5 linked regions of the Ovis aries genome follow. The protein of the gene in region 3 purifies or fractionates together with the protein of the main gene of each other region. This does not show direct contact. Links are inferred from orthologs where the notes say so. Each region holds a gene or a part of one and is shown on either strand. Other genes may lie near its edges.

Evidence for each region.
Region 1: the proteins of SLC12A6 (region 3) and RAB6B purify together in Homo sapiens (affinity purification with mass spectrometry; 4 studies listed by BioGRID and IntAct, with this or other methods). This does not show direct contact. The link is inferred for Ovis aries from reciprocal best matches to the Homo sapiens genes SLC12A6 and RAB6B.
Region 2: the proteins of SLC12A6 (region 3) and CLGN purify together in Homo sapiens (affinity purification with mass spectrometry; 3 studies listed by BioGRID and IntAct, with this or other methods). This does not show direct contact. The link is inferred for Ovis aries from reciprocal best matches to the Homo sapiens genes SLC12A6 and CLGN.
Region 4: the proteins of SLC12A6 (region 3) and LGALS3 purify together in Homo sapiens (affinity purification with mass spectrometry; 3 studies listed by BioGRID and IntAct, counting the BioPlex papers as one, with this or other methods). This does not show direct contact. The link is inferred for Ovis aries from reciprocal best matches to the Homo sapiens genes SLC12A6 and LGALS3.
Region 5: the proteins of SLC12A6 (region 3) and STK39 purify together in Homo sapiens (affinity purification with mass spectrometry; 3 studies listed by BioGRID and IntAct, with this or other methods). This does not show direct contact. The link is inferred for Ovis aries from reciprocal best matches to the Homo sapiens genes SLC12A6 and STK39.

What each region holds. Positions count from the first base shown.
Region 1 is NC_056054.1:256,108,092-256,112,242, forward strand, and holds the start of RAB6B (ras-related protein Rab-6B), read left to right. Parts: upstream 1-1,342; 5' UTR 1,343-1,742; coding exon 1,743-1,812; intron 1,813-4,151. UniProt on the Homo sapiens protein: The small GTPases Rab are key regulators of intracellular membrane trafficking, from the formation of transport vesicles to their fusion with membranes. Rabs cycle between active GTP-bound and inactive GDP-bound states.
Region 2 is NC_056070.1:17,392,008-17,395,519, reverse strand, and holds part of CLGN (calmegin), read right to left. Parts: coding exon 3,370-3,512; intron 2,121-3,369; coding exon 1,995-2,120; intron 1,373-1,994; coding exon 1,213-1,372; intron 1-1,212. UniProt on the Homo sapiens protein: Functions during spermatogenesis as a chaperone for a range of client proteins that are important for sperm adhesion onto the egg zona pellucida and for subsequent penetration of the zona pellucida.
Region 3 is NC_056060.1:26,490,577-26,494,539, forward strand, and holds the start of SLC12A6 (solute carrier family 12 member 6), read left to right. Parts: upstream 1-1,153; 5' UTR 1,154-2,413; exon of another isoform or gene 2,414-2,530; 5' UTR 2,531-2,546; coding exon 2,547-2,817; exon of another isoform or gene 2,818-3,963.
Region 4 is NC_056060.1:65,677,860-65,681,969, reverse strand, and holds the start of LGALS3 (galectin-3), read right to left. Parts: upstream 2,804-4,110; 5' UTR 2,742-2,803; intron 2,513-2,741; exon of another isoform or gene 2,360-2,512; intron 1-2,359. UniProt on the Homo sapiens protein: Galactose-specific lectin which binds IgE. May mediate with the alpha-3, beta-1 integrin the stimulation by CSPG4 of endothelial cells migration.
Region 5 is NC_056055.1:141,119,019-141,123,112, reverse strand, and holds the start of STK39 (STE20/SPS1-related proline-alanine-rich protein kinase), read right to left. Parts: upstream 2,806-4,094; 5' UTR 2,751-2,805; coding exon 2,564-2,750; intron 1-2,563. UniProt on the Homo sapiens protein: Effector serine/threonine-protein kinase component of the WNK-SPAK/OSR1 kinase cascade, which is involved in various processes, such as ion transport, response to hypertonic stress and blood pressure.

The sequences.
Region 1 (4,151 bases), on a different chromosome or scaffold from region 3:
GGAAATATACAATGGAGAAAACACAGTCTCTTCAATAAGTGGAACAGTTGTACTGACTTGGGTTCTAGATATTCACCCAAACATTCAACAATTATTTCCTAAGCTCAAAGTTAAGTCTTTGGGATTCAGCAGTGGAGACTCAACTGCTGATCTGGAACTCATCCTATAGTTTTTAATAAGCAATGAGAGAAAGATTCTAAGTAATAAACCAGGGAGTCAGACAGGAAGACATTCCAAGCCAGCTATGTAAGTCAAAAAGAGCAACAAATGCCCCCTAGAAAACTCCAGAGATGAAGGTTGCTTCTCACCTTTCTCTCTGAATGAAACACACACACACACACACACACAAACTTGTTCCCTAACATCTAGGGTATAATCCCAAATGAACATTCATTGAACGGCCCTAAAAGAACAGACCACCTGCCTGCAGCACAGCAGAAGCAGCTTGGTGAAACCTCAGTTACCCAGAATGCTAGGACCCGGTTGGGAGAGCATCTAATGCCTGGCACCTGCTCCTTGTTCTCACCCACTCACAAATTATCTGTGTGCCTTAACAGGTCAGGTGAATGTAAAGGCAAATGGGAGGTCTCCCTCCTGTCCTCTGGGAGCTCATTGTCCAGATACGTCTAATTGCCAGGGCAAGGAGTGGTGGTGTCAGCCCAGAGATCCCAAGGTCCAGGGATCCAGGGATCCATCCTGGAGATGGAGGAGCTGACATTCGGGGCCTCGTTCCTCTTCTCTCCCACGGGTCATTAGGTTTAGGATAAAGTGGTGCTTAGGAGCGGTTGAAGCAGGGTGCTCCTTTTATCGGAGCTCCTCTCCAGTTGGGCATGTCTGTGGGTGGGTGGGGGGGACACCTATGACTCTACAGAGGGGCCCAAGAGGAGGGATCTGGAGAGAAGAGAGGAGGGAGGGCCAGACACACGTACAAGATGCCAGTAGAGCCGGTCTGCGCCCACACGGTCCACCACACCCTGGCTCACCGACCCTCCCCCCCGCTCCCCGCCCCCCGCCCCCCGCCCTGACTTCTTTCATTTTCACCCTCTCGGATGGCTGGGCTGTGTGTATCAGTGTCGCAGGGGTAGAAAGAAGGGGTAACATCTAGGTTTAATTAACAAATATCCCTTGACAATTTCACGTCATTTTCTGCATTCAAAAGGGAGATGGAGTGGGGAAGACAGACGCAGTGGGGCAATGAGAGAGGGTCCGATTCGGTAGCCTCTTCAAGGAACGGCTGAGCGACCCTCTCTCGCCCGAGTGCGGGCTCCGGGTGGGTGGACTGACGCCCCTCAGCCCCGCAGCGCCACGGGCCCCGCATGACATCAGAGGCTAGGGAGCGCGCAGAGCGCAGGCGCGGGCGGAGAAGCAAGGCGGGAGGGGGGCCGACTGGTGCGGCTCGGGAGAGCGCTCCTCCGCCCCGCGCGCCTGAGCCCCGCTCCGCCCGATCCTCGCAGTCTGCGCCGCGCCTCGGGCGTCCAGAGCGCGCCGCATCAAGCGCCGCCTGCGGCCGCCCAGCCCCATCCTTCCTCCTCCTCCTCCTTATCTTTCTCCTCCTCCTCCGCCACCGGACACGCAGCCGCAGGCCGGGGCCGGGACGCAGCTGGGGAGCCAGGGACGCGCGCAGCCAGCCCTTCCCCCTCCGGCTCCCGCACCGCCGGCCGCCTCCCCTCGCCCTCCTCCTCTCCCCTCCCTGCTCCTTCGCTTCTCCTCCTCCTCCTCTCCCAGCCCCAGCTGCCAGCACCATGTCCGCAGGGGGAGATTTTGGAAACCCACTGAGAAAATTCAAGTTGGTCTTCCTGGGGGAGCAGAGCGGTAAGTACCCCGCTTATTCCCCGGGTTTGGAGTCGAGCCCACCCCCGCCGCCAAATCATCCACCCCACTGGGACCCCGACCTCGGCTCGAAAAGGCCCCTCGGTGCCCGGGTAGAGAAGAGGTTTGGGGATGGGGAGGTCGTGGCCGGCTCGGAGGGGCCGGCAGGGGAGGCTCCAGGCGTAAGGGACGACGAGGCGCTGGGGCCAGAGGTGGGGGCGAGGGTGGGATCTGGGGTGGGGGCTCGGGGTGCGGCGCGCCGGGGACACCGGAGGGCGGCGGCTCGCTCGGCGGCGCCGGCCGCGGGCGTGAAGGCTCCGGGCTCGCTGGCTCGCTCGCACTGCGGCACCGGCTGCGGGCGACCGCGCAGGTGGCGGGGCGCCGATGAGGGTCGCAGGGAGGGCGATTGCACCTCTTTAGAGAACGAGACGGCACTGGCGTCTGGCCGCTCCCCAAACCGCGGCACCGGAGGGGCTCCCTGGGGCCCCTGACGGGAACCGTAATTGCAGACACGTCCAGGCCCTGGGGCAGACGGCCGCGGCGAGAAGACCGACATCTGTCTCTTCTGAAAAGAGCAGGTGCAGATCGTCGGGGAACAGGGCGCCCACCTCCCCTGACTTACGTCCGACTGGGCACCGAATGTTCTAGACCCGTCGCCCTTCGCTGCTGTGTATTAGCCGCTTTCGGGCTCAGGGGTCTGAGCGATGACAGCAGGGGGTCCCCAGTGCAGGGCAGATTTGGGGGATGGAACCGGGGCGCCTTGCACCGAGAGCCGCGAAGCCCGGCGCTGGGCAGAGAAAGGACCAGGCGACACGCCCTGCCTGGCTTCCCAGCACCCCTCCCAAGAGCGTTCTCGGCGGATTCTTCCAACCCCCACCTCCCAGCTCACCGCCCTTCTTGGGGGAGGGGAGGCCACCGTGGCAGCGGGCCAGGGGCCAGGGAGACGAGGAGACAAACGGCTTTCCTGCTGTCTGGTAGCTCCCCCGGGGAAAGCGTCTCTGAAAGCCAGGTTAGTCCTGAGGAGGGAAGACCAGCCTGAAGAGCATGGAGCCTCTGACACTTGTAGGAAGGAGTGGTTCTCAGAGCATCCCTGCAGAGGCCTCTCACCTGAGGCTGCGGGGAGACAGGCTGGGCCCTGACCTGCTCTGGGAGAAGGCTGTCTCTGGAGGCAGGACCACCAGCTGTAGCTCTACAAACCAGTCCGGTTCACCTGGTCTAGTGCCTGTCTGTACAAGGGGCCGCAACACACACAATCTTGGGAGGACCTGGTGAGCTCCAGGTGCTGCTGTGATATGTGTGTACATATTGCTTGTGGAGGTCACATGACAGTCGCCTGCCTGCCGCTGCTCATTAGCTGGGATGCAGGGATGGCTCCGAGAAGGGTGTCAGAAGGTGGCCAAGCTCTGACATGGGTTTTAGGGCCAAGCTGGGCATTTCTGAGCAAGATGAACTCAGCCAGCCAGCCCTGTGTCCTGGACTTTTGAGTTTCTGATCTTAGTAGATTCCAGTTTCACAAAACTAACTTTTTCTTGTGCCTAAAGGGATTTGGGAGTAGAGGGATTGGTCTTCACATTACAGGGCTAATCCAACCGGTGCTAGAGCCCTGGGAGTTGAATTCTTAGCTGTGTTCCCTTGAGGAGATTTCGAAGCCTTTCTGAGCCTTAGTTTCTGTCTCTGTAAGATGGTTGCCTGAGGGTCGTTTTCTTACCCCTTCATGTTTCCTCAGTGTCTCTCAAAGGGCTGGACCCTGAGAGGTTGTCAGTAAACACAGTTTTATTCCAAGTCTGAATATGCTTCAGTGAAGGAGGTTTGGTGAGGAGAATGCATCTGGTGTATTTGAGTGAAAACTCTGGGCTCCCTCAGAACCTCTGATGGGCTGAGGCCCCTGATGAGCTCTGCAAACCACCTTTGCACCTAAAATCACAGAAACAAGAGCTGAAGCCCTCAGAGCGTGAGCCCCCATGTTTATAAGGGAAGCCCAGCATGTTTATAAGGATAGGGTGTGGACCCAGAGGTCTATTGTGAGTTGCTAACACTTCTGGGACTGAAACTCGTGTCTCCTGTTCCCGGTCACTAACATGCCATTGGGAAATGAGGTGACCTTGAATTGGGAAAGCCAAGAATTGGGAATCTTTAATCTAGGAGGTGGTGGTTACCAAACTCTGGCCAGGATTATGGCTGGGTTGGGTGACCTGGTGGGAATGCCAGGCTAGTCGTTTGGGATCATGGTTTCTGAGCCCTTTGAACATGGTCATTAGGAGAAAAGGCACTGCCATTAGCCACATTGATTCTTTCTGGCAGGGAGCTCTAAGGCCCTGAAGACTCCTCCCACTTTATTAGGT
Region 2 (3,512 bases), on a different chromosome or scaffold from region 3:
TTTATTAAACAGATTTTATTCAAGGCAAAAGACTCAATGAATTAGAATTTTTCTACTGAAGAGTATTAAGTAAAAGTGGAGGAGTACATTTAAATTTCAATATTTGAAAGCAATTTCTTCCATTAGACATTTTTGAAAATTAAATACAAGTACTCGTTATTTTACCACAACTCACTGGAAAAGACCCTGATGCTGGGAAAGATTGAGGGTGTGAGGAGAAGGGGATGACAGAGCATGAGATGGTTCGATGGCATCATCGACTCAATGGACATGAGTTTGAGTGAGCTCTGGGAGATCATGAAGGACAGGGAAGCCTGGCATGCTGCAGTCCATGGAGTCACCAAGAGTCGGACATGACTGAGCAACTGAACAACAACAATAAATATATCATCATATCTGAGGAAAGGGGCAGGTTTAAAGAATTTTAAAGCATTCAGTCTGTATGTGAAATGAAAATCAAAGAATATATGTGTGTATGTATATACATAAATATATATGTGTGCTTTGAGAGAGCATGGTTTTTAAGTCAACTGTTTCATCAACTATTAAGTTAAAAATAGTGCTCAAAATATAATGCAGGTTATAAAGGGCTCATTCTGGAGCCTGGCTTGGGACATCTGGCAAACATCAATAGTTTTATTGCTACTTAGATGTATATAAGGAAGTCTCACTGGAGAGGTACCAAAAAGCTGCAGCTGTCTTCAGTTCTAACATCTGGAGTTTAGCTGAGAGCAGGAGGGGACATATGATTCAGCAATCCTTTGAAGAGATTAAACTACTGGTTTGATATGATAAAACTATCTGATAAACAACAGCCCTTGGTGTGGATTTTGTTGCTGCAGACACCTGTCTTAAACCAACTACTCTTCCACAGAAGCTGTGATCTGTGCCTCCCATCTCATCCTTGGAGGCAAGAAAAACCCTTGCAAAAAGCTATGACCTATGGGATTGACAGCTGCTAGATTCTGAAGCAACTGAACAATTCTGACAACTCTTTCTTCCTAGAAGAGAGAGCTCATACACTGGATGTCTGCTCAGGTACAATCCAGGCAAGGATGGTACTCCTCTTCACCACAGTCACGCACTCCTGGGGATTCAGATGGTATAAATCTGACAACAGACAAGTGCAACAGCTAGTGGTTCCCACTTAATCTACTGTTCTTAATGAGCTCTGCCCAGGGTCCCCTTTATATATCGCCATCACTGTCCTACCTTTTTCAACAATTTCACCATCACTTTGCTTTTTTTCCTCTTCCAAGTCAACTGGCTTCTCCAGGGCTGCTTTCTCTTCCTTCACTTCCTGCTCCAGTGCTCCCTTTGTTTGTGGTTTACATATGTCCAGTTTTTTGAAAGCCACATCTTCATATTTTTTCTGTGGTAGTTTAACATAAGCTATTTTTACTAGAAGCAAAGCACTATTAAAAAAAACATTTTCTTTTTTTGCAATGACGGGTAACACACATGCGCTGAAGAACTGATGCTTTTGAACTGTCTTGTTGGAGAAGACTCTTGAGAGTCCCTTGGACTGCAAGGAGATCAAACCAATCCATCCTAAAGGAGATCAGTCCTGAATATCCATTGTAAGGACTGATGCTGAAGCTGAAATTCCAATACTTTGGTCACCTGATGCGAAGAACTGACTCATTTGAAAAGACCCTGATGCTGGGAAGGACTGAAGGCAGAAGGAGAAGGGGACAACAGAGGATGAGATGGTTGGATGGCATCACCGACTTGATGGACATGAGTTTGAGCAAGCTCCGGGAGATGGTGATGGACAGGGAAACCTGACATGCTGCAGTCCATGGGTTTGGAAAGAGTCAGACGTGACTGAGCAACTGAACCGAACTGAACTGATATCATACACGGTGAACTAACAGTAAAAACTTATATAAGAAATTTAGTTTATTACTTTTAAGAACCACTGACTCCATTTATTGAACTCCTAAACACTAAGAGATTTTTTTTTTATGTTGAAGAAAATTCATTTTCTTTACCTTTACTTTTCTTGGCCAACAAAATGAACTAATCAATGCTATTGGAAGCGCTGCTGTCAAGAGGTAAATGAACCAAAGCCATGGGCGCTGTTCAGTAGCTGACATCAATTGTTTGAATATACCAGGCTGAAAAAGAAATAAGCATAAAAAGGCTATTCAGATTTTATAAACCTTCATTCATAAATACAGCCTATGAAAACAAAAAAAGTTATTTCACCTAGGTAGTTTTCTACTAAGGAGTCAAATTTATAAGGCAAAAAATATTTTTCATTTTATACTTTGTAAAGTTTAAACAATCTTTAAAAAAAAAAAAAGTTTATCTGGCATGCCAGTTCTTAGTTGTGACCTGTGGGAACTACTTCCCCAACCAGAGATCAAACCCAGGCCCCCTGCACTGAGAGCGCTGAGTCCTAGCCACAGGCCACCAGGGAAGTCCCTTAAACAATCTTTAATTATTCACATGCATTGCAGTTTAACACTTGGTAGAAGATACATTATATTATACAAGTGAATATTGCTAATTCTCCAGCAAGAATTAAGACAGCTTCCTTTTCTGGTAAGTTTCAAGATAGTACTATGCTTCATGGATGTATTATTTGGTTCATTTAGAAGTAAACTCTCTAACTCATTCTGTACTTTTAAAGAACTTACTAAAAAAAAAAAAGTCAACCTAAGGATAGCTATGTTTTTTCTTATTTCTTAACAAATTTCACACACAACTTTCAGAAAGGAAACTGTTTTCCTTATTAAAATGTTTTAGTTAAAAGAGTTTCAAAATGAGAATCCTTTTACCTTTATTTACTCTTTTGAGGTTTTTGCTAATATTCAAAGAAACCTAATATAAGGTACATTTTTCTTTATGGTAATTGGTTTTAAAGACAGATAGATTCTCCAAGATGTACTGTGTTGAAATATTTAGCTTAAGCTTTCCTAAGCAGTGTTAAGATTTGGGAAAAATAACTAGAACATAATAATTAAATTTTAAAAATTTCTATACTCCTCTAAGTGAAAAGTAGTTAAAATGAATAAAGATTTAGATTTCTGTTCCCACTTAGGCCTTAAACTGATAAGGTGACAAGATATTAAGTCTCATTTCTAACAGTAGTAATAACCGTCTCATTTCTATAAACATCAAAAGGCATTCAATCCATTTATGTTATCATAATCTAACAAATGAAAAGAAGACATATATAATTCACTATATAGTTTATAATGAAGTTATAATTTGGTGAAGCTCATATTCTGTCTACATAGATTTAAATATGTTTCTTCATCATTTAGTAATTATTGTATCTATTGACTCATCAAAAGGCCATCTGTATAACCTATAACCAGGACGATACCCTATTATTATCATATGCTAAATACTGTGTACCTCATTAGCATTTTCTATCAGTATCTTCACTCCCCAACCATCTGCAGCCCAGCGGTCTGCTACTTCCTTTTCTGAACAGATAATAAAATTATCAAAGTAGATATCAGAGGTCATGGACCAAAGCTCTAAACCAAGAGCACGGA
Region 3 (3,963 bases):
AGCTTTGAGGAGATTTACATTTTAAATAGGAATCTACTTTACATTTTGTTACCTGTAGCTTTTAAACCAGACTGTGGACTTTGTGTCATGTAATAAAAGATTTCCTGGCTCAGGTCTTCAATACTGTTCTCATCTGTTATTAAGGATGATGTTAAACATTTCTACTTGTGCTGAGCAAGGACCAGGCAAAGTCAGGCCCCAGGTTGTTGACTTTAAATGACTTTTGATAAACAAGGCCCTACATATAGTACAGGGAACTATATTCAGTATCCTGTGATAAACCATAATGGAAAAAAATATTTTTTAAAATATGTGTATGACTGAGTCACTTTGCTGTACGGCAAAGATTGCACATTATAAATGAACTATATGTCAATAAATAAAGTTAGGAAAAATTAAAATTAAGAAAAAGTCTTGATCACAGCTCTAGGAAATAACTTGCAAACAAAACATTGATAAGTCAAATTTATTGAACACCTATTCACGCATTAAATAAACATGCTAGGGAAAATATGGTGGCAGTAGCAGAGAAAACACTGGCGTCAAGAGACAATATCTCAATGTCATCTTCATGTCTAAAAGATGGCTTTTTTAACGGAGCTTTCAGTCTGAGGTAAAACACAAAATTGTATATATGTAACGTGTACAATATGAATATTTGATAGGTGTATACCTGTAGAAACCAGCATTTTTTCCGAAAGACTGCAAATAGAAAATGTAGCACACATTATGTATAAATTTGAGCATACAATTCTTTGGGATATACCACTACATAAAAACTCCAATGAGGGTCATATCCAATATATAGCATATATTTTGGAGGTATATGATGGTGTGAGATTTGTGATTTTTAAAGAAATTATGAATGGTTTTTTGAGGATGTTCTTATTCAGTAGAGATGGTTTTTGCGGTTCTGAGAGTATGGCGTACCCACTGCTCCCTGAAGTCCTTCCACTTCTAGAGTTAGTGCAAGACAGCAGGACCTAGAAGGAAAAGCATTTGTTTTTCCAAATACACGCAGCTGAGGCCCCCACACACCCAACTACAATTCCCGTCGTGCTCCGGGCCTCCCACACTGGGGCCCAACCCGTGCCGCAACCTGAGCGAGCGCATGCGCGCAGCCCTCTCGGCCACCTCGCGGGCTGCAGAGACTGGGCGGGGCTTTCAGACGCTCGTGGGGACGGTGCCGCCCTCCGACCGCTCCCCTAGGCTTCTCTTCGGACCGTTAACCTCGAATGAGGAACGAGCGGGGAGGAAAGGGCGGGGCTGCGGCGGCGCGGGCCCAGCCCGCCGGGCCCGGGGCCGGGGGCGGCGAGGTCACGTAACTGCATCTCTGGCGTCTGGCCAAGGAGGGGGCGCCCTCCCTGGCAGCTCCAGCCGTCCTGCGCGCGCCGTGGCTCGGAAACAGTTACCGGCTCATAAACAACAGCTGCGCGCGCACCCGCATCAGCTGGCGCCGAGATCCCGCACCTGCGACCTCCTCCTACTCACATCCTCGCTGCTCTCTCCGGCTCAGCCAGGGCCAGCCTGAGGCCGCCTCCTCTTCAGTTAGAACCCGAAGGAAGAACAGCGAGGGCTGACCTTGCGCCGGGGCTCTGGTAGGGGAGAGAGCTGCTTCGGCAAAGGGGTGGCTCGTCCTGTCACGCGCAAGAGAAACCGAGTGAGCCAGTCGGAGGCTCGATGGACTGACTAGCAGCGACCTGCCTCGACCCTGAGCTGCAGTCCGCGGAGTCTCGATCAGCTAGCCGCCTCCTCCCAGATCCTAGGGACCTTTCTGCCAGAAGAGCGGGCGGGCCAGCCCCGCAGGCCTCTTGAAGGCAGAAATCCGCTCTGCCCCTGCAGCCTCCTCTGCTCACCCTTCTCTCATTCTCCTCCAGCCGGAGTGTGCGATTATTTTTCCCGTTATGCGTGCGCACCTCTCCCACCAGACCCAAGTGGATTATCGGCCTCAGAAACATCGGGTGGCTGTACACACACCTCCTCCCAGCCAGACCTGTGGGGTATTCACCTGATACACAACAGGTGGCCGGGTATACACCGTTTCTCAAGCTGATCTATGCTGTATTCGTCTGATAAGGGTGGGCTTGTGCTCACTTTGCTCAACTAACCGTGGGACATTTACAGATAAAAAAAGGACTAACTACCTCGGCCTAAACCTTAGGGTCGAGGCAAGAAAGGCTTCGTCACCTGCTTTTCTGACAATGGCCCTGAGCCCACATCCCTGGACCAGAGGAGATAACTAGGTATCTCTTCATTCTGAAGAAACGAAGTTACACGAGATTGGCATCGTTGTCTTTTTTTGTTTTTTTTTTGAATATTTTTCAACTGTTGGTAGTGCACTTTTTAGGACAGCTTGAATTCTTGAATAGGAGGATTCTTATATGTAGTGGCTTTTCGTGTGGTGTAAATCAAGGTAACTGAAGGTTGTTTTTCGTGTTTTTAGTTATCTTTTCTGTTTTTGCAATCAGAAATAGCTTGCAAAGGAGGAAGGGTTTTGCAGGGTTTTTCTTTTTTCCTTGTCTTTATAAAGGAAGAGAAAAATAAAAATGCATCCTCCAGAAACCACCACCAAGATGGCTTCAGTTCGGTTCATGGTGACACCAACAAAGATCGATGACATTCCAGGTTTATCAGACACCAGTCCGGACCTCAGCTCTCGATCCAGTTCCCGAGTAAGATTTAGCTCCCGCGAAAGTGTGCCCGAAACCAGCCGTAGTGAGCCTATGAGTGAGATGTCTGGAGCCACCACTTCCTTGGCAACGGTTGCACTGGATCCAGCCAGTGACCGGACATCTAACCCCCAGGATGTTACTGAGGGTGAGTAGAAACATAGATAACAAAATATTTCCGTTACTGACCTGTTTGTCCAGGATGAAAATATACTGAGAGATCACGTTTCCATTATAGAATAATCATTAGGAACCAAGGAACCTCTGTTTGAGATGTTTAGGAACCCTTTGGGATAATGGTTTGCATAGCCAATCTCTGCAGTAGTAACTTGGTGTGTTTGGAGGTATATGGCAAGAAGGAAAGTGGTTGTGTTTTGACTTCCTCGTTTTCTGTCTCAAACTTGAACTGTATCTTTTGGTTAAGGATGAGTATCAAAGAATTTAATCATTTTCAGGAAGGAGAATCCTAAATGGTAAAATTTAGTGGAGAGTTGGCTTTGGGGGTCTAACTATGACAGTTTGCTTTTAAGGTCACTTATGTGGAGTAGTTATTGATCATATCTTAGTTATTGGCTTTCCTAAAGAGACTTCAGATATTGTATCACAAAATTCTTTTTAAAAATTTATGTTTTTACAGAAGCAGTTGTTCCAGTAGCTAAGCTCAGTCAGGGTGAGGGTGGGTAGATCTGAGTGGGCTGCCTTGTCCAGTGGAGAATTCTAAAGAGGCTTTTAGGGCCTGATTCCACATAAATTTTTTTTGTTTCATTTTGAACTTTAGATGGCATGTACTGAGTATTAAGCCTTTGTAGTCAGGAACAGCACATGAGCCACTTTTGACTTGTATTGACCACTGCAGACCTTTAGCTTCCTAAAGCAATTTGTGTCAACAGGCTTGGAGGTTTCCATTGCGTTTAGTGAGAAAGAGATGATGAAATAAAACAGGTCATAACATTTTTTGGACTAAAGTAGAAAAATTTGAGAAATACCGTACTGCTTTATATATTTAGTTTTATGCTGTGTTCTAACATAGATCTCTCTGGTAATGAAAATTCTCTTAAGAATTTTAAAAGCCCTTAAAATGATATTCTACCCACATTTGAAAACCATCTTCAGCCACTGACTTGCTATTTTCCGGTGTCAGGAAATATTGTTCCTTCTAATCTACAGAGCGCAGGAAACCAAAATGCTTTTAGTTCCTTATTTCTGTTTAGTGTGTTTTAATGTAAGGAGACAAGGTAGATTTGCTAGTTTATAGTCCTTGACTAATTTTTTTTTTTTTTTATGAAGACCTTAC
Region 4 (4,110 bases), about 39 Mb from region 3:
CTTATGTGCAAAGCCAAATTCAGAGATGCTAGTCAGGATAAAGGAAACTGGTCCTTTCCCAGGATTTCTTTTTCATCGCAGTTCCTCAGCCATAAGGAAGTTAAAGTTACTTTGTACCTCTCAGTTACTGATTTTTTTTTCCCCATATGGAAAAGCTGAGTATCAGTTAAGAGAGAACACATGATACTTAGTCAGCAGCAAACTAGAATTACTGCCCTGGCAGGCTTACCACTCAGAATTTAATGAGAAGAATTCATGCAGGCACCAGATAGAAAATGTTAACTAGCTGTCCTCAGCAGAAGCCTCTGTCCCAAACTAAAAGGAAAGAGAGGCTAAGTTTTTGATCAGTTACCATGAGTCTCAGGTACAAGAAGTTTATAAGCCAACTGGTATTTTAGGTAACATAAGCACCTCAAATTTTATTATATGAATATAGATCTCTATTAGGGATAAGATGTAGAGTCTGACTGAAGAGAGTTCTAGGTAAACAGTATCTAAATCATAGCTGAGACCAATAACAGCCTTTTGACCTCACTAGAAGGCAATGGCAACCCACTCCAGTACTCTTGCCTGGAAAATCCCATGGGTGGAGGAGCCTGATAGGCTGCAGTCCATGGGATCACTAAGAGTCGGACATGACTGAAGAGACATAGCAGCAACAGCAGCAATAAGTAATGGAGAAGGCAATGGCAACCAACTCCAGTGTTCTTGCCTGGAGAATCCCAGGGACGGGGGAGCCTGGTGGGCTCCCGTTTATGGGGTCGCACAGAGTCAGACACGACTGAAGCGACTTAGCAGCAGCAGCAATACATAAAAAGTCTTTTTATAAAGCTCTGCTGCGTATTTGTAGCATAGCAAAATATCATTGACTGAACTGAAATGAGCTGAAAGACCTTTCAACAGAGCGAGATTAGCCTCAGTTCAGTTGCTCAGTCATGTCCGACTCTTTGCGACCCCATGAATCGCAGCACGCCAGGCCTCCCTGTCCATCACCAACTCCCAGAGTTCACCCAAACTCATGTCCATCGAGTCAGTGATGCCATCCAGCCATCTCATCCTCTGTCGTCCCCTTCTCCTGCCCCCAATCCCTCCCAGCATCAGAGTCTTTTCCAATGAGTCAACTCTTCGCATGAGATGGCCAAAGTATTGGAGTTTCAGCTTTAGCATCAGTCCTTCCAAAGAACACCTAGGACTGGTCTCCTTTAGAATGGACTGGCTGGATCTCCTTGCAGTCCAAGGGACTCTCAAGAGTCTTCTCCAACACCACAGTTTATTTTAAAAAATGAGCTTTTGGGGTCAATCTATCAAACAGTGCTCCTCCTCTTCTGCTTCTTATGTAACTTGGCGAGGCATCCGCCTAATATTTCTAAGCTCAAAACATTCAAGACCCATCATCAAACTTCTCCCCGGAATATGGAGAGAATGCTGATTTTAAGCAAAAGCCCCCCACTTGATTAATTTAGGCAGCTCCAATTTCCCATAGATTAAGAGTGAGGCACAGTCATCAAAGGGATGGATGACATGACTCTAGGGATTCAAAGACAATGTCTGAAAAGGACATTCTTGTGGCACAATGAATTTTATTATTGAACTTTTATGGAAACACAGTTTCCTAGCATGAAAGATCAACTGTGTTTAACTTGGGGCAAGTGAGTCAGAATTTTGGAAGTTGGTGAAAATTTTTTCTCATGCTCTGTGCCAAGTGGTCAATTCTTATTGCCACCATTTTCTGCAGAACAAAATGAGCCTCTCTTCCATTCCTTTTCCAGAATCCTAGAAACAGACTGGGTCACTGAAGTCAAACCGTTCTCATTGTCCAGCAACCCAATTCCCAGGAGTCATTTTACAAATATTCCAGGTATCTGAAATCAGGATCGCTAAGGGCAGGGCATGAAGCTTAAGACACAACCTCAACCCCAGTGTCCCGGAGTTCCTACTCGTAAAAGCGCAGGCACATTAGTGCTTTGATTTGAGCAACTCACAATTTAGAATATGTCCTCAAACATGTTTTAGAAGCAACCCCTCCCCACCTCAACTAGGGCTCTGCACCCTCGGACGAACATTCAATTCTGCCACACCCCACACGTCCGCAGCACAGGTCTGAGATCGTTAATGCTCAAATCCGGACTGGGATGTGCAAAAACTGAGGGTGTGCGGTCTTTGCCAAGCCGGGCACATGCCCACTCAGCCTTGGGGCAGCACCATTTTCTGCGGGATCAGCATCCAGAGAGCGGCTGCAGCCCCGGACTCTGTTGGCCTGTAGCAGAACACATCCCCATCCCACAGCCAAGCTAAGAGTTGAGGAACCGCCCACAGAGTGCCGGGGCAGTCTCCACCGCCGACGGAGGCAGGGGCACCTGGTTCCTCCCGCCCAGCTGAAGCAGGCAGCTGGGAGGATGCGCGCGCGCCCACCACACACCACGGGCCAGCCGGGGCGCGGGGCGCGAAGCCGGGGCTGAGCCTCCCAGTCGCCGCAGAGGGTGACCCTCCCGTCCGCCGCGAGGAAATGCAGGTGAGTCTTTTAAGTCGTTGCTAACTTTCCTCGAGTCTCAGACTCCTCTCTTGAGGGCTCGAAGCCAAGGAACCTGGGCCCAGAAAGCGCGGTTCCCCGGGGAAGCCAAGCCCTCGTCTCCGGCTCCCGCCCAGCCCGGCAAAGGGGGCCGCGCACCGAGCTGCGCCCGGGCGCCCTGGCCTTGCAGCAGGCGCGTCTGCACCCCCGTCCCGGCGCCCCCGCCACTTACCCGACGCCTCTGCACTGGCTCGCGCGCCGCGGGGGAGGCTCGGGCAGGGGTGGTGTGGTCCTGCCCGGGCGGTGGCCGGCTCTGCGCCTCAAATACGCCCGGCCCGGCACGCCTCTCCCGGGGCGGGGCCGCCACCCCGGCCGCCCGCCCGGCCGCCCCCGGCCTCTCCGTGCGAACGAGGCTGGGCGAGTCCTGGCCCCGCTGGATCCAGGACGCAGAGGAGACGCCTGACTCAGGACAGCGGTGGGTGGGACCCGCGGCCTCCATCCCCTCAACGTCCGATCGGTCCCCTCCGCAGCCGCCAGAGGTTGGGTTCACCGCCCTCTCAATAGATTCACCTGCCAAGTCCTCAGGCCAAGATAGGGAGAGTCTGCGAAGGAAGCTTTTAGTGACAGGGAGGGTCCTGTCACGTTTTTTGAGATGCTGGGTGAGAAGCTCCATGTCTTGTTTTTATTCCCGTTCTGAACTGTGATGTGGGTACACACCTCTCAGACCAGGAGCCCTAGACTGTTTTGCTGTTTGCTTCCCACTGCCTCCTCAACATCTGCCTTGTGTTTGGTAGGTCCTCAGTAAACTGGTTAAATTTGTTTAGTAAATGAATGATTAAAATAGTGAATCACTTCCTAGGAAGTCTGTTTTCTCAAAGATTAGAAAGAGTCCTGATGGAGGGGAGAGTTAAATACAAATGTACCTTTGAGAAAAGTAGGAAAAAAATAAAGCTATGGCTCTCAGAAGGGCTTCGCTGGTAGCTCAGCTGGGAAAGAATCCACCTGCAATGCAGAAGGCCCCGGTTTGATTCCTGGCTGGGGAAGACTCGTGAAGAAGGGATAGGTTACCCACTCCAGTATTCTTGGGCTTCCCTGGTGGCTCAGAATAAAGTAAAAATAACATAAAGTAAAATAAAGAATCTGCCTGCAATGTGGGAGACCTAGGTTTGATCCCTGGGTTGGGAAGATCCTCTGAAGGAGGGCATGGCAACCCACTCCAGTATTCTTGCCTGGAGGATCTCCATGGACATAGGAGCCTGGGCTGCAGTCCATGTGATAACAAAGAGTCTGACCTGGCTCAGCAACTAAGCACAGTACAACATGTCTCTAAGAAAGATTGTTACAACAAGTAGTGGTGTTTCCAAGGGGAAGTGGTATTTGTCAGTAGCATTTCACTGGGTAACAGCTGAGTAAAATGACTAAGGATGTCTTAGATACATATGTTTTTTAATTCAAATTGCCACTCACAAAAGTTAACACACAGACATAGAAAACAAATTTATGGTTATCAGTGTGATAGTGAGGGGAAGGAACAAATTAGTAATTTGGGATTAACAGATACATACTCCTAGACAAATAAGATATAAATAATAGACAAATAA
Region 5 (4,094 bases), on a different chromosome or scaffold from region 3:
ATGGAAATGGGTGTGTAATTCCCTACAACATTAAGCCCCTGGAAAACCCTACTGCAGCAATGTGACTTTTCAATCACACGGCCACCACACAGACAGCCTCTTTCAACTGGAAAAATATGAGATAATTTTAAATGTAGGAAAACCCTTCCTGCAGTGTGAATATACAAAAATCAGCATAGAAGTAATAAACAGGCATTTCTGCTGGCAAATTCCTCAGGTAAATTTTTTTTTTAATGAAACTGACCAACCATAATTAACAATGCTGCTACTGCAAGCAGAAAGAAGCCCTGAAATCAATCCCGTCTCTTTAATTAAACTAAGATTTTATTCATTTCAGTTCATAAAACTGGTCAACTCAAACACTGCTTTCAAAAGGCAAGCATATTGTCTTCCATATTGCAAACTTGCATACTGACCCTAATAATTGACAAAATAAGCATAGAAATTGATTGTAAGTAAATACTGGTCCTAGGGCCTATGGAAACATGTGGCAGGTTACCATCAATTAAGTTTTATGGACCATCCCTATGTATTGGAGTCAGAGGGATAAATAAGACCCTAAAGGAGTTCACAGCTGACAAGGAAAAGCAGCAATGGAAATAATCAAGCAACTTATAAACTTATTCAGACTTCAAAATTCAGTTCAGATGTCTTCTGCGGAATACTCTGCTTCCTCATTTCTCCAAGCAAGCAGTTAGTCCCTTCTTTATGCTCCACCAGTACTCACTCATGACATCCTATAGAATCAGTTACTTAAACTTGGGAAGCCCTGAGGGCAAGGACCATTTTATTCATTTCTAAATGCAAAAACCTAGCACAATGCTTGGGAAAGAGTAGGCCTTTAGATTCTGTTGCGCAAATAAAAACTATGGGATTACATGCTGTGAGCCATATAAAAAAAGGAACAGAAAAAGCCACCATACTTTGCCTTGGAAGAAGCAGAAGGCGACTTAAGAACATTCATCGCAAGCTGAGTGAGGTTAACTACAAAGATGGGCACTTAGAGAAGAGCCTGTGAAAGACAGCAAGGAATGGAAGGCCAGGACAGCTGACTATTCAGTGTGCAGTCAGTGCAACCAGAATACCAGTGGGGGCAAGTAGGTTGAGAGCAGACGGTAAAACTGGGAAGATGAAGGGGCTTAGCTAGCAGGTGAAAGGAGTTTTCACTGAACAGGCTTTAAAAAACCCCTTGAAGATACATAATTCATGCAGTGACAGGAAGACATATTAGGAGAGTCTTTGGCAAAAAGTTATAAAAGGCATGGGTTTTCGAAGAATTTTGCTTTCATATCCTAGGTTACTGTTCTGCCAGTCATTGGTCTATTTATTTCAATCTATGCTATGTTCCATTCCTACAGCAGCAGGCGATAAAGGGTAAACACCTAATGAAATTCTTATTACCGGTTTTAATTTTTTAAAGAAAGGGAGGGAGGGCCACATTCTTTATAATGAAAAGAAGGGGAAAAAGTTTAAAATAAATATCCTGAATTCCTTTCTCATCATGTACTTAAACATCAAGATATGAGAAGGCAGCATCCCATCCCACCGCCAATAATGAGGGCCCACTTTATCTGGAGGGTGCCCTAACTGGGTTTAACAAGACGAGATGATCCAACAACGGTCAACACAAATCTGGTCCTTCACGTGCTTGGCCCAGGGAAAAGTAACGGCGGCTTCCTGCCATTCGACTTGGCCAGGTTTTTTAAAATCTAAGATAAGGGGATATTGGTGAGCCAACTAGAAGGCACCAACAGGCAAGCAGCAGGTCATCGAGAGCCTCGGCTTTCACTCATGCAGTTCGGCCCTGGACCAGAGGGGAAGCATCGGCCCAGCACAGGGCAGGAGGCCAGGGCGCCTTCTTTCTCCGGGCGACCGGGCTGGGCAGCAGGAGGCGCGCCCGGGCACCGAGAGGCGGGTACCCGGGCGCGCCGGGCGGCGCGGAAAGCCAGGCTGCAAGGCGGGCGTGGAGCTGGGGCTGTCAGGAAGGGAGGCCAGCATCCTCCCTGGCCTCAGGAAAGAACCTGGGCCCCTGGAACTCCTACGTAGCCCGGTTACCCATGGCGAGAGGTTGCTGATGGGAAGCTGGGGTGCGGAGCTAGAGAGCAGAGGCGCGGCTGCGCCGGTTAAGTCCCCCAGGACGCGCGGCCCCCCGGCGCGGCGCGGGGGCGCTGGAAGACCAGGGCGGCGCCCCCGCAACCCCACCCCGACCGCGGCTGCCTGCTCGCGCGGCCACCGACCACAGGCTGCGGGCCCGGCACGCGGGAGGAGGGAGATGCGGCGGCGTTGCCGGGTCCCCAGTTCCGCCGCCCCAGCGATCGGGGAGATAAAAGTTTGCAGCATGCGGCTCGTCTGCAGTGCGAGTCACATCCGCCGCGCCACCTCCTGCAGCACCCGCGCTCACCGAAAGAATGAAAAAAAAAAAAAAAAAACTGTTGAAGCCGGTAGGCCCAGAAGCCGACCGCTCTGCCTCCAGGGCGTGCATGCAGACAAGCCCAGCATCCCGCGTCGCCTGCCGCACCTCCCGCCCGGCCTGGACCGGCCCCGCCGCGCCCGCCGCACTGACCGATAACCTCCTGCAGCTCGTACGCGTCCCTGCAGATGGGCCAGCCGATCGACTGCGCGGCCGGAGTCGTGGCCACGGGAGCCACCGGAGCCGGCGCTGCTGTCGCTGTCGCCGGGGCCGCCGCTGTCACCGGGGCCGCCTGCTGGGGCTGCTGGACGTGCACGGGCGAGCCGCTCGGCTCCGCCATGATGCTGCCGGAGGAGATCGGGAGGACGCGCCAGCCGGCGGACGACCTTCCACTTGAAACTTCCCTTCCTCGCCACCGACACCTCTCGGCCGGCGCACGCCCTCCGCGCCCGCCGCCGCCGCCGCCGCCGGAGCCAGCCACGAGGGGAGGGAGCGAGGGAGGCCGAGCCGGGCGGAGGGAGGAGGCAGCGCCGGCGGAGGCGGGGAGGGGAGGAGGCGGCCCGGTCGCCGCGCTCGCCGCGCGTCCCGAGCCTCGCGCGCGCAGTTCTCTGCCTCCGCGAGGGGAACCGCCGCCCCGCCGCCCCGCCGCCCCCTCCCGCCTCTCTCGCTGCCGGGAAGTTTCCACCCGAGGGGAGTGAGGCCGGGTTGGGCTGGCGTTCGGGACCCGCGTCCCTCGCCCCCTCACTCCCTGCTTTCCCTGAGCCTTCGCCCCAGACAATCGGGCTCTCCGGAAGATGTCCCTTGGGGACCCCGAGGGCGGGGTCGTTGAACCGCCGCCAGGTTCTCAGATTCAGAAAGTCTCCCCAAGTAAGAGAACCTGAAGTTCATTTACAAGTTAGCGAGTGAGCCACCTACACGCCGGCCGTTTGTAGGGCGCCGGTTAAAAAATAACCCGAGTTGTAACTTTCCGGCGCCCTACCTGCCGATAACCCTCTCCCCCACCTTGCCTAATCTAATCGCAGACCTTCTGGTTTTTTTCTTAGTGAAACGTGATGCCTTAGGTCTCTGGCTGTTCATAGACTTCATTAGTTCCAAGCCACTTGGATCCCAGGGAGGTGTTGTAAGGGCCTAAAAAGTTAGATTTTTCTAAGTGTAAGAGATTTGAACTCTAAATCTCAAATTTTAGACCCGTAATAACAAAGCCACCCTAACCCGATAGGTCAAGAGATAGCTGGCATTTCTTTTACAGAGCATAACTGGGTGTCAAAGAATGTACCGCACCACAAGCTGCGTTGAAAACTTAATTAATTGCTGCTTTCTCAACGCTCCTAAAATTACCTCATCCTTAAAACTGCTCTGGTATAACCATAGGTCTTCCTAATTATAGGTGTCATATTTAACACTGAGTGTTCTCTGTGTTTCCCCTGGTAGAGATGACCACGATTGCACCATCCTTTTCTTGAGCTGAAACTGTGCAGTGACCCAATGGTCATAATGATCATTGGGCCAAAATTATCGTGTGTAGTTGTCGTGATGAGGACTATTGGATAAGAAAAATGAGCTTTTTTTTTTTTTTTTTTAAAGAAAAAAGAGATCGTGATACTTTGTCTCCTCTGTTTACATATAAAAATCTCCTTAAAACTTTTTAAAATATAATTCAGATGAAACCCAGAAATTCATTTGG